2 linked regions of the Saccharomyces cerevisiae S288C genome follow. Changing the gene in region 2 together with the main gene of any one other region gives a genetic interaction. Each region holds a gene or a part of one and is shown on either strand. Other genes may lie near its edges. The genes, in order: RSF2 and YBR096W.

Region 1 (7,068 bases), on a different chromosome or scaffold from region 2:
TCGTACGATGTGGATTTTATCTTCAATATCAATGTTTTTCTTCAAAAGTAGCTTGTAATCACTGATGCTACCATAATTGCAAAACACGTATCGAGCAGTTACACTTCCATTTTTTGAATATTGATGGAAACCCTTTTGCCTTTTCCTAGCGTGAGAAGCAGGATCACCTTTAACTCTATCCTCGATCATGCTTGCTTCGTAGACCACTTTACCATTTTCTAAAGGAGCTACGTTAGTGTCTACTGGTTCACCTATCCATGGGTAATATTTTTCAACTTTGGGTTTGTACCCCATATCTAGAAACTCGTCCAAGGTATATTTAAACGTTGACGAATCACTTGCTCCGTTGCTCATGTACCCAGCATACTTGTATACATGTTCTTTCGCTCTATTTTCCTGTTGCAAGGAGTTCAAGTATATCCTATAAACCTCTGCATTCGTCAATCTGGAAGAGTGAAACCGCCGAAAGTCTCTTGATAAAGACGTCCTGGGAGCAAATGCGGCAACAAATCCCATGTACAAAAGGAGACTCGCTAGAATCAAGTACATAAACTTTTCCTTGTCCATATGTTCTTTCATTATTTCATAACCACTAACAATACTAGATATTGTATTACTTCTGCCTCTATTCCTGGATGTTAAAGTGAAAGAATCATTCATGCTTTCTTCATTGTCATCGCGAGTGGTCTCGCCACTATATTGTTGTAATCCAGTGGCTTCGGCCTCATTGTCATCAGGGTCTGCCATATTAACAACAGTTCTCTCCTTTAATTGACCTTCCTCTTTCTCTCTCTTTCTCTCTCTCTGTATCATTCTCATATATCTCTTACATTCTTAATTGTGCATGTTGAAATTGTTTTAATAAGTACGGCCCCTTGCCTTGTCAAACCTTTTTACCCGGGCCATCAAACTCAAGCAAACTCCGAATGGAACAATGCCTTTTTGAAGCCTGGTGGTATATTATGAAAGTTATGATAGTTCTAAGCTTTAATTCTGTAAATACTATAGTATAGAGACGGCCGCCATTATATATTTGTAAATCGGACTTATATTCTAGTGTTTCTTTTTTTCGTAACACTATAGATAGCTCTTGATTGCAAACCATGAGCGAACGATAATATTATAGGCCAAATTGGCGCATCACCCAATATTTGAACACCCAAATATAAACATTTGGAGGATAGACTTGCCGCTACAATTAGTTGAATTGTCTCATTTATATCGGTATTCGGGTCCATGGCCCTTTGTGCTTGTTCTTCATTTAGTGCTGACAAATCTAGGGCATCCTTGTCCTGCCATCTTAAGAAATCAGTGTACGATTTCAACACATCACACTCCTTCGGTATCAAGTTCATTTGTAATCTTCTCAAAATCCTTTCTGCTTTTAGCCATAAGACACGGTCCGAAAAATCCAATAATGCTGAGTTAGGGTTGTTGGCATTGTACCCGCGTGCCCAATCCTCTACACATTTCATGTATTCCGAAATCACTAATACTGCAGTGAACATACATGTGGTCGCAAATACAGGAGTATTGAAAATTCTGCGCTTGCCCTGTTTAATGTACGTAAAAAATGAAGTCCACGCATCCACCATATTCAGTGCATACTCGGTAGCTTCCCTCAATGAACCCATGTCATAGCAAACTTCCTCCAAAGCTTTATTCATATTGGACCAATCTTTCAACCAGATTTTCTCAATAACATGTGCCAGGTCCAAACACCGTCTCATTTTGGCAAACAAATATACCGGAATTATTAACCTCATTGCTGGATTGGCGTTTATTGTTGACATGCTATTCTCGGTAGGTGTCAAGATGCCACCATTTTTCAAATAAAGGTTTTCCCAGTATTTTAACATTGTATCGATCCGTTGTCTGGAAGTCATCTTCCACTCAATATCGTCCAACTCAATGTTATTGCTATTGGTGTTGTTATTACTGATCCTTGCGTTATTTCTTTCAATAAGTATTTTCTCATGGATAGATATCAACAATGATAGACATGTACTTAACGAAACCCTAGCATTTCCGTAAAAAAAACTATCGCCTGTAGAAAGAAACCTCAAACAATTTTCATATGCCTCGTTACCATTAGACAATTCAATCAACGAAAATTTCGAATCTAACGTTATTTTGTATTGACATAATAGGTCCGACCATTCATCGGAATTTCGGCACTGATATAATTCTTCTTTATAGCATGGAACACCACATTTTAAATCGACTGAATGAAAACAGCAATCAGCACCTACCAGTGAAGAAAATAAGTTAGATATAAGTAATACCGCATGGCAAGTCCTGATACGTGACTGCGCCAATACAAAATATTGGTAGTTTTTGTTCATTTGATTCGGCGCGTTGTATTGCTCTCTTATTTTTGAAAACATATGAGGACTGTTTTCATATTCCATAATATGATCACTCTCAATAGGCGGCTGGCATAGGGACTCTAGGGGCAAATTTAAACGAGAGGCCTTCAAGAGACGAATAATAGTCGTCAACTGACCATGCATCCCCTTGATCACGGCTGTATTTTTATTGAAAATACAGTAGAACGTTAGCAATACTAATGTCTGTATAACCCATAACTCTGTCGTCTCCGGGTTTTTCTCACTAACTTTCAAGCTTTTCCTAATTTGGGTGCTAGCTGCATTAGCTAACACTTTTGCATGCGTCGAATGAAACCCATACAATGCTCCGACCATGGAGATAGATAATAACAAGGGATAACTGTCCATATTAGGTATGATAGAAGGAAGATGAATAAATGAAAAAAATGGATGGAATTCTTCCTTATAGTAAGTCACATAATCGTTCAATTGACTAGTTGTGGGGAAGGCTCCTGAATCGATATTATTGTCGGCTAGCATCATACTCCTTAGCTCATTGGTAAAAAGCACTTGAGATACTGAAGGGACAGAAAACGGAGATAACAAATCCGAAGGAGTAAGAACAGGCAGCTGTTTCTGTGTTGCATTAGAATCAGTTTCGCCGGGGAAAGACAAAGTGAGAACATCGTCGTTCACATGAGAATTATTTTGCTCTGTCCCGTTTAATACCTTGGAAATATCCAATTGCCTTGAGCTGAAAAAATTGGATAGATCGTAGTCCATCATGACGCTATCACGACGCCTCTTATGAGAACTATGGGAAATAGGGTCAGAATAGGAAGGCTCCTTTAGTTGGTTTTGTGGTGTACTTGGTAAATCTGTGCTTCCATTCAAACTCAAGTTTAAGCGAGGTGATAAAGAAGCTTTTTCATGATTTAATGAGGTAGCAGAATGGTTTGGAGGTGACTTGTTTGGTATAGATGACCTTGATGAAGGTGGAGAATAAATAAACCCAATGTCATTGAAATGATTGAAGTTGATCTTGAAGGTAGATTTTGGATCAGAGTTGTTAATAAACTCTGATAACCACTTGTCATCTATGGCAGCAGGATCGATATTACTATCCTTATCATTGGGCTCCATTGATGGTTCCAGTAAATTATTTGTGCCTGGATTGAAATTGATCGTGGAAGAGGAATCTGAAACAGTTGTTGGTGGGTTTTTAGGAGATAGTGACATAAGCGGCTGCTCATTGCTCATTTGCCTATAAGTTTGATTTGCCAAATTACTGTAACTATTAGAAGCCGTAGTAGAATTAGACGGTATAGTATTCGGGAAGCTTGACGGAAGGTTAAATTCAGAAACTGTCGGTTTATCATGACTGAAGCAGCCCAAATCAAATGGCGAATGGTGGCTAGACATGTATCCTCCCGCACCTGCATGTGCAGAGTTCATTGTCAAAAGATCGGTTAAAGATGGACCGCTACTTAAGAGATACACTCCAGGTGTAGCAACTGTACTTCCATTGTTGCTGTTCACTATGGTACTAGAGGTGGAATTTTGCTGTTGTTGTTGTTGTTGTTGTTGCTGTCCGGAGGGGTCATTGTTAAATAGATTTAAGTTAAACTTGATAGCTTGCGGTGGTTCGTCCAGGGTTAACGGAGGTAAATCCAATTCTGACACGCTTTCCATGAGCTGCTTCGCGGTCATTTGTGGAGTAGAAAAGCCGACTTGATGCGGAGCGTCTTCAACGAGCTCGAAATTGGTAATTGAATGGTGGGGGCTATTGCTACTAGACATGTAAGTCATTGCACTGGATGCAGAGAAAGACGCATGTCTTTTCGTCTTATGCATGGAAGAGGGAGTGTTCGCCCTGTCGATAACAGCATCGCTTGATGCAGAGTGAACTGGCACGCCTTTCGTGCTGAACTTGAACTCTCGAAATCCTAGGGAGCCTGCCTTACTAGGAGGAGTTTTCTCTCGCTTATCGTTCATTACTGGGGCCGAGACGGGAAGTTCTACATTATTTGATTTGGCCAAGGCAACCACGGCCTCTTTCAATTCTTCAGATGTCTTACCAGCAAGGTTCTTCGGGGTGGGTAGAATAGTCTCTTTATTTCCGGCTATTTTAATGATATGAAGGTCGGTTGGATCATCCGCCGCCACGGAATGGCGCCGCTTGGAGGCAAAAGAAGAAGTCGAATTTGGTGCTGGCGTCATTCGCCGTGGATCCCCCGTACCTACAAGAGCAGCATGAAGTTTTTGCTGATGCCTGAGCACTAAATCTCTACGAGCAAAACACCTACCGCAAAAGATACAAAGATACGGTTTCTCACGGGTATGCGAATGCTGATGTCTCTTCAAATGCTCCTGCCTGACAAAACCCCTAGTGCATGTGGGACACAAGAACGGTCTTGGCTTATCAGTCTTAATAATTCGAGATTTTTTAGGAATGGGCAGAATACCTTGACCAGCGGGCTTAGCGAAATTAGATTGATTACCGTTCACAAACATACTTGGCTCCGGCACTAATAAAAAATCTTTATCTGCCCTATCTATTCTAGTATCGCCAATGTCTTTTAGCTTCTTCGCCCTAAAGTTTCTTTTTGGTGCAAGAGTCTTCGAGAAAAACGTGTGTTGAGAGAGGCAATGTTTAACGAAGAAAAAAAACTCTATGGAAATCCAAGAAGTCCTTGTTTCTTTGTTTTCGTTTCTAATATATGCAGGGTCAAGCGGGAAAAAGAAAGACAGACGGAAAAGTGCCCAGCAACACGGAACAAAATTGTCCAGATTTATTCGAGCGGCCGCGGTTAGTATGCATAATGCAGGCGCCCCTCGTCCAAATGCGAACGGTTCCATCCGAAACAGGCCATTTCCCAAAAATTATTTCTCTTAATAGAAGTTGCTCGCGTAGTTACCTATTGTCGATGCCGCATACGCAGTTACCTTATCCGTTGCCCTACGGAGAATTTCCGCGATGCAGCACCGTGCGGCGAGATCACAATTTTCCTTGTACACTCTACTCTGCCCCTGGAGTGGTTCACCCCCGTCTGTGCGTATTTTCGTGTATGATGATATAAGGTCGTTACTACCGTTGATTCAAAAACAGTTGCTTCTTCCATATATTGTAGCACGAACAACTATGGCCGGCCGCAAATTGCGACAATTACACCTAACGCAGCATTAAGGTCGCAGGAAATGTTATCTGCCGAGCTGTTTATCTCTGTTTTCCAAGATTTTTTCAACCAGCCCATGAGTCTGCTGTTGGCGGCAACCCAGTTACAGATAATGGTGCATGTGATAAGCTTCGTACCACTATTCGTAGTTTGTTACATCTTGTAAGCCAGTATATATATTTGTTAGATTGTGCCCTAACGTTCCAGTAATTGAAGGGTAACCGAGGTTTCCGTGGAAAAAAACCGTGTATAAGCAAGAGGTTCCGAGCGAAAAAAAAAAGTATAAAAGAAAGCACAGGCAATGAGATTTGTTTTTCGCTTTTCCTTCTTATTTGTTAATTCTATTTTTGAAGTTTCCTTCCGAAAAAAAGTAACTTTGTCCTAAAGTACTAATCCACCGCATTAGACAGTACGAAGATCGAGCTATTTATTTGAACACTCGGTCTTATTCGTGATAAGCGTAATGTGGAGAGATCAATTTCCGGGTCATTTATAAGAACTCGAGTGGATTGCTAGTTGTTTTGATTAGCTGAATGAGACTCGAGTGTCAGAAGATGACTATATTTTTTTTCTTTTTTTTTTTAGTTATGTTTTATTTTTGAACTTGTACTTGCACATGTATCTTATTGTTTCGTGATCTTGTAGATCCGTATGGGTGCAATCAAAGGTTTGAATTGCAGGGCTTTCATCGCGCGGATCTCGTTGTTTGCGTCGTACTCTGTGCTGGTGACTATGGTACATTTTAGCCCGAGTTTATTGCACTCTTGAGAAAACAGTTGGACAGTGGATTCGCTTCTAATTGTCGCGGATAGGAGACACAGTTTGCATCGGTCTAAAGCAAGACATTCGGCCAGACACTCGCATAGATCAGGAAGGATAGTTGGGTCATACGTAACATCTGCCCCCACTACTAAATCTATATCCTCAGGAACTCTATCGCTGCCCCACCATAATCTTTGCAACTTGATGTCTGGTTCGTTCTCACGCACTTCATTGTTCAATTCAAAATTTCTTTTCAGCTGCGTCTCAACGAGATTCGAATCACCATCCGTGACGTACATCTTATTTACGAACTCGTGATACTTTTGTAAAATGACGAGACTCACTATGCCTGTGCCAGCGCCGACCTCAAGAACATTTAATTTTTTCTTGCCATCGTCTTGTCCTTGTACCGGTGCCAACTCTTGTAAGGGCTTATGAATAAGGAAATCACCCATGTATAAGGCAGCTTCCCATGTCCTGAAACCTGTAGTACTGGCCGCACTGATCAAATTCGGTGTTTCCTCAATTTTGATCTTTACGTCCTCGTCAAACCTGTACCTCACGACGTCTTTCATCATCGGGTCTGGCTTGCCTGTGCTTAATAGTTTTATGTACTTCTCATAGAGATAATCATATATCTCTATCTCGTCTTCGCCATCGTTGACAATTGTGAATGCCTTCGCGAAAATCCATTCGTGGTCTAAGAGCATCTTGACTATGGTTTTGCAATAATATGCATTCGTCTTTTGCACAAGTTCCATCTCACAAACAAATCTCGATGCATGCAGGACATCGTTAGA
Region 2 (3,054 bases):
AACCTCATTGATGAATTATTTGATGACACTGTCAAATACTGTGTTACCCCCATCTTTAACGAGAATAGAAATAAGACAGATGATGAAACAGACCCGAACTTCGTAAAAGTCATTGATTACACTTCAAACGGTTGGTGAAACAAAAAAAAAAAAAGAACCCATCCTAAAATACTGTTATTATTACTAAATAGTGCTAAATAATACATATGCCTTGATTTTATTTCCGAAATTTTTTGTTTTGTCAATTTAGGCTCTATTAGCTTCTTCATCAGGTTCATTATCGTCTACAACACCGTCTTCCATGGTATTTTCAATTTCTTCCTCAAAATTTGTTGTCTTATTTGTTGTAGCACTGATCAGACCTCTCTTCACAACACGTAGAGCCACCGGGATAGTAATATCATCGTCAGATATACCCAAATATTCCCGACTCCAATTTAAAATCCTACCTCTTATTCTATTGGCTTTTATTACAGACTTTCTGATTTTTTGTAAGTTTCTTATGAATTCTTTATTCCTCTGTAGTGCAATCTGCGACAGCTGTCGGGCAGACTCAATTTCCTCATTTAACTGTTGTTGTTCGGCCGCTGTTAATGTTGATATAGAAGCAGAACCGGAAGAAGATGGCAGCAACGATAACAGCGCATTAGATTGTTCCAACCTTGGCAATGCAAAAAAAGGATCTTCCTCTCCAAATTCTTCCATGCCATTATTGATATGACCAGCTTCAGTAGACAAACTATTCGAGTTAACCTCGTTGATATTGTTTTTGTTGTTAATGTCATCCTCGTCGCTTGCCCCTCTATCCTCTGGAAGGGTCAAATTGTGATTATAAGATGGTAGGTTCAAGTTAGATTCATAAATTGGTTCAGGATGATCTCCTAAAAAAACCTCCAAAAACTGGGAATATCTAACAACTGACATCTGTTCTTTTTCAATCATTAGAATTATTTGCAAGGCTAAATTTTTCAAAATTGGGCTTGAAAATGTCCTTGAGATAGTTTTATGATTTATTATATCCCCTAGGGAAAGAATGGGAGTCAAAATCTCCTTTACATTCACTAGTTTTGATAGGTCGTCATCGTCTTCTTCGCCGTAATACTCATCAGTGATATTTTCGTCTTCCTTCTCACTACCATCGATGTCGTTTTCATCACCGACTAAAACAGGCTCGACGTTGATGTCAGGTGTGAATTTTATTCTTTTGCGTCTACTATCAGTGACAATATTTGTTTGCAGAAGGCGATGCTCCGAACCGTTATAGAACACAGTTTGCTCAATCATTGGCTTAGAATTGTTCAAGTCTCTTCTTGTTACTACTTCGCTTCTCTGCAAAAGTTTGTTACCTCTGTTAGAGGATATGCCAGTGGCCTCAGGATAGATTAGTTTTCCATCAAGGGATCTTTTCAGTACCTGATAGTTACCGCTTTTTTCCTTTATTATCCTTCTAGTAAATGTGCTAATTATATTCGATTCATTAGCTAACACACTCTTGCTTTCCAATTCTGCGTTGTTTTTCATACTGCTCCTAATAGTCATCTCGATCAACAAGAAGCAACAGCTGAGATATTTGTTTCTCAACCTCTTTTTTGCAGGAGATGCTGTCATCAAGCAACGTTTCTTCTATTTGAAAGCGATTGTTTTACCAGAACAAAGTTCGCTACCCGGCTTCGGTCCTCTTGGGTATAGGAGACAATAATGATCTTCGAATAACGCCGTTATAAAGTGAACATTATAATTATCCGCTTAAAGGCTTTTTAGTAATTTTGTAAAACAATTGCTTCTAATTTCAAGACTTCCAAAAGGTTTCTCGAGTAACTAGTGCTTTCCAATATCTACAACAAAATAAAATAATAGAATAATGGGTGTTTGCACTATTTTTAGGTGGCTCTTTGCTGCTTACTTGCTCTCTTCATATAAGTCGCTTCCTGGGGCATATTTTGTTAGGTTTTATTATTATGTTATTCAAAACTTGTTCTTGCCTATGTTTACAGGGTTTGAAACCGAGAATATTAAGAAACTTGAGAAAAATGAATATGGCTGTTTCTCGTACACCAGCCTAGATACCTATGCCTCTCCATTCGAATGTGACTTCTACTTTCATAAGAGCAATAGCACCTATTTTGCGGAATTGGACATTTCAAGAGGTAATCTCATGTGCAAGATTTTTCAAAAATTGATGCTGAATTCCAAGCATTATCCATATATTCCAGTTGCGAACGTTTTCACTAATTTCTTGAAGGAAATCAAGCCTTTTCAAAAGTACTCGGTTTCATCAAGGATTATCTGTTGGGATGAGAAATGGATTTACGTCATGAGTAGATTCACAATTAAAAAGGGCACCGTCTTATGCTCATTATCATTGACCAAATACGTCCTTAAGGACGGTAGAAAGACCATCAAACCAAAGGATGCTCTTGAATACTGTGGTTTATATAATGAGAAGGTCGCCAAAATTTCTGAGGACAATCTAAAGCTTTTAACCGAGCGTTGTGGTTTCCACGAGACAGTACCATTGGAAAACTTGAGCCAAGAGTACTGTTCAGAAATCTAACTTCTATACACATATAGCCGGTATTATAAAATATATAAATCTATCTTCTTTCAAAAGTTTCTCTGTGCAGTCTGCGTTATATTTTATCTTCGGTAGAAAACAAGGTAAATTTCCCTTATTTTTCAACATCATAAAAATGAAAAACAGATATATCTTAAGTAAGATACTTAAGCAGACAAGTTGAATTGGAGAAATACAAAAGCTGTAAGGTTATCAAAAAGGAAGGCATACAGTATAATGGGGGCACAATTATCACTAGTGGTCCAAGCATCACCTTCCATAGCCATTTTTTCATATATCGATGTCTTAGAGGAAGTACACTACGTTTCACAGTTAAACTCATCAAGATTCTTAAAAACATGCAAGGCACTGGACCCTAACGGCGAAATTGTTATCAAAGTGTTTATTAAACCAAAAGACCAATATAGCTTACGACCTTTTCTCCAACGTATAAGGGCTCAATCGTTTAAGTTGGGACAACTACCGCACGTTTTAAACTA

Evidence for each region.
Region 1: mutations in YBR096W (region 2) and RSF2 together harm fitness less than expected from each alone (positive genetic interaction), as found in Saccharomyces cerevisiae (one large-scale study listed by BioGRID).

The regions. Positions count from the first base shown.
Region 1 is NC_001142.9:657,871-664,938, forward strand, and holds RSF2 (Rsf2p), read right to left. Parts: upstream 5,190-7,068; coding exon 1,047-5,189; downstream 1-1,046. Other genes in the region: VPS70 (putative zinc metalloprotease), read right to left, coding at 1-819; YJR128W (uncharacterized protein), read left to right, coding at 5,051-5,410; EFM3 (protein-lysine N-methyltransferase), read right to left, coding at 6,130-7,068. UniProt on the Saccharomyces cerevisiae protein: Transcription factor that regulates expression of both nuclear and mitochondrial genes, and more specifically those required for glycerol-based growth and respiration.
Region 2 is NC_001134.8:434,160-437,213, forward strand, and holds YBR096W (uncharacterized protein), read left to right. Parts: upstream 1-1,861; coding exon 1,862-2,554; downstream 2,555-3,054. Other genes in the region: PBY1 (putative tubulin tyrosine ligase), read left to right, coding at 1-138; RXT2 (Rxt2p), read right to left, coding at 247-1,539; ubiquitin-binding serine/threonine protein kinase VPS15, read left to right, coding at 2,792-3,054.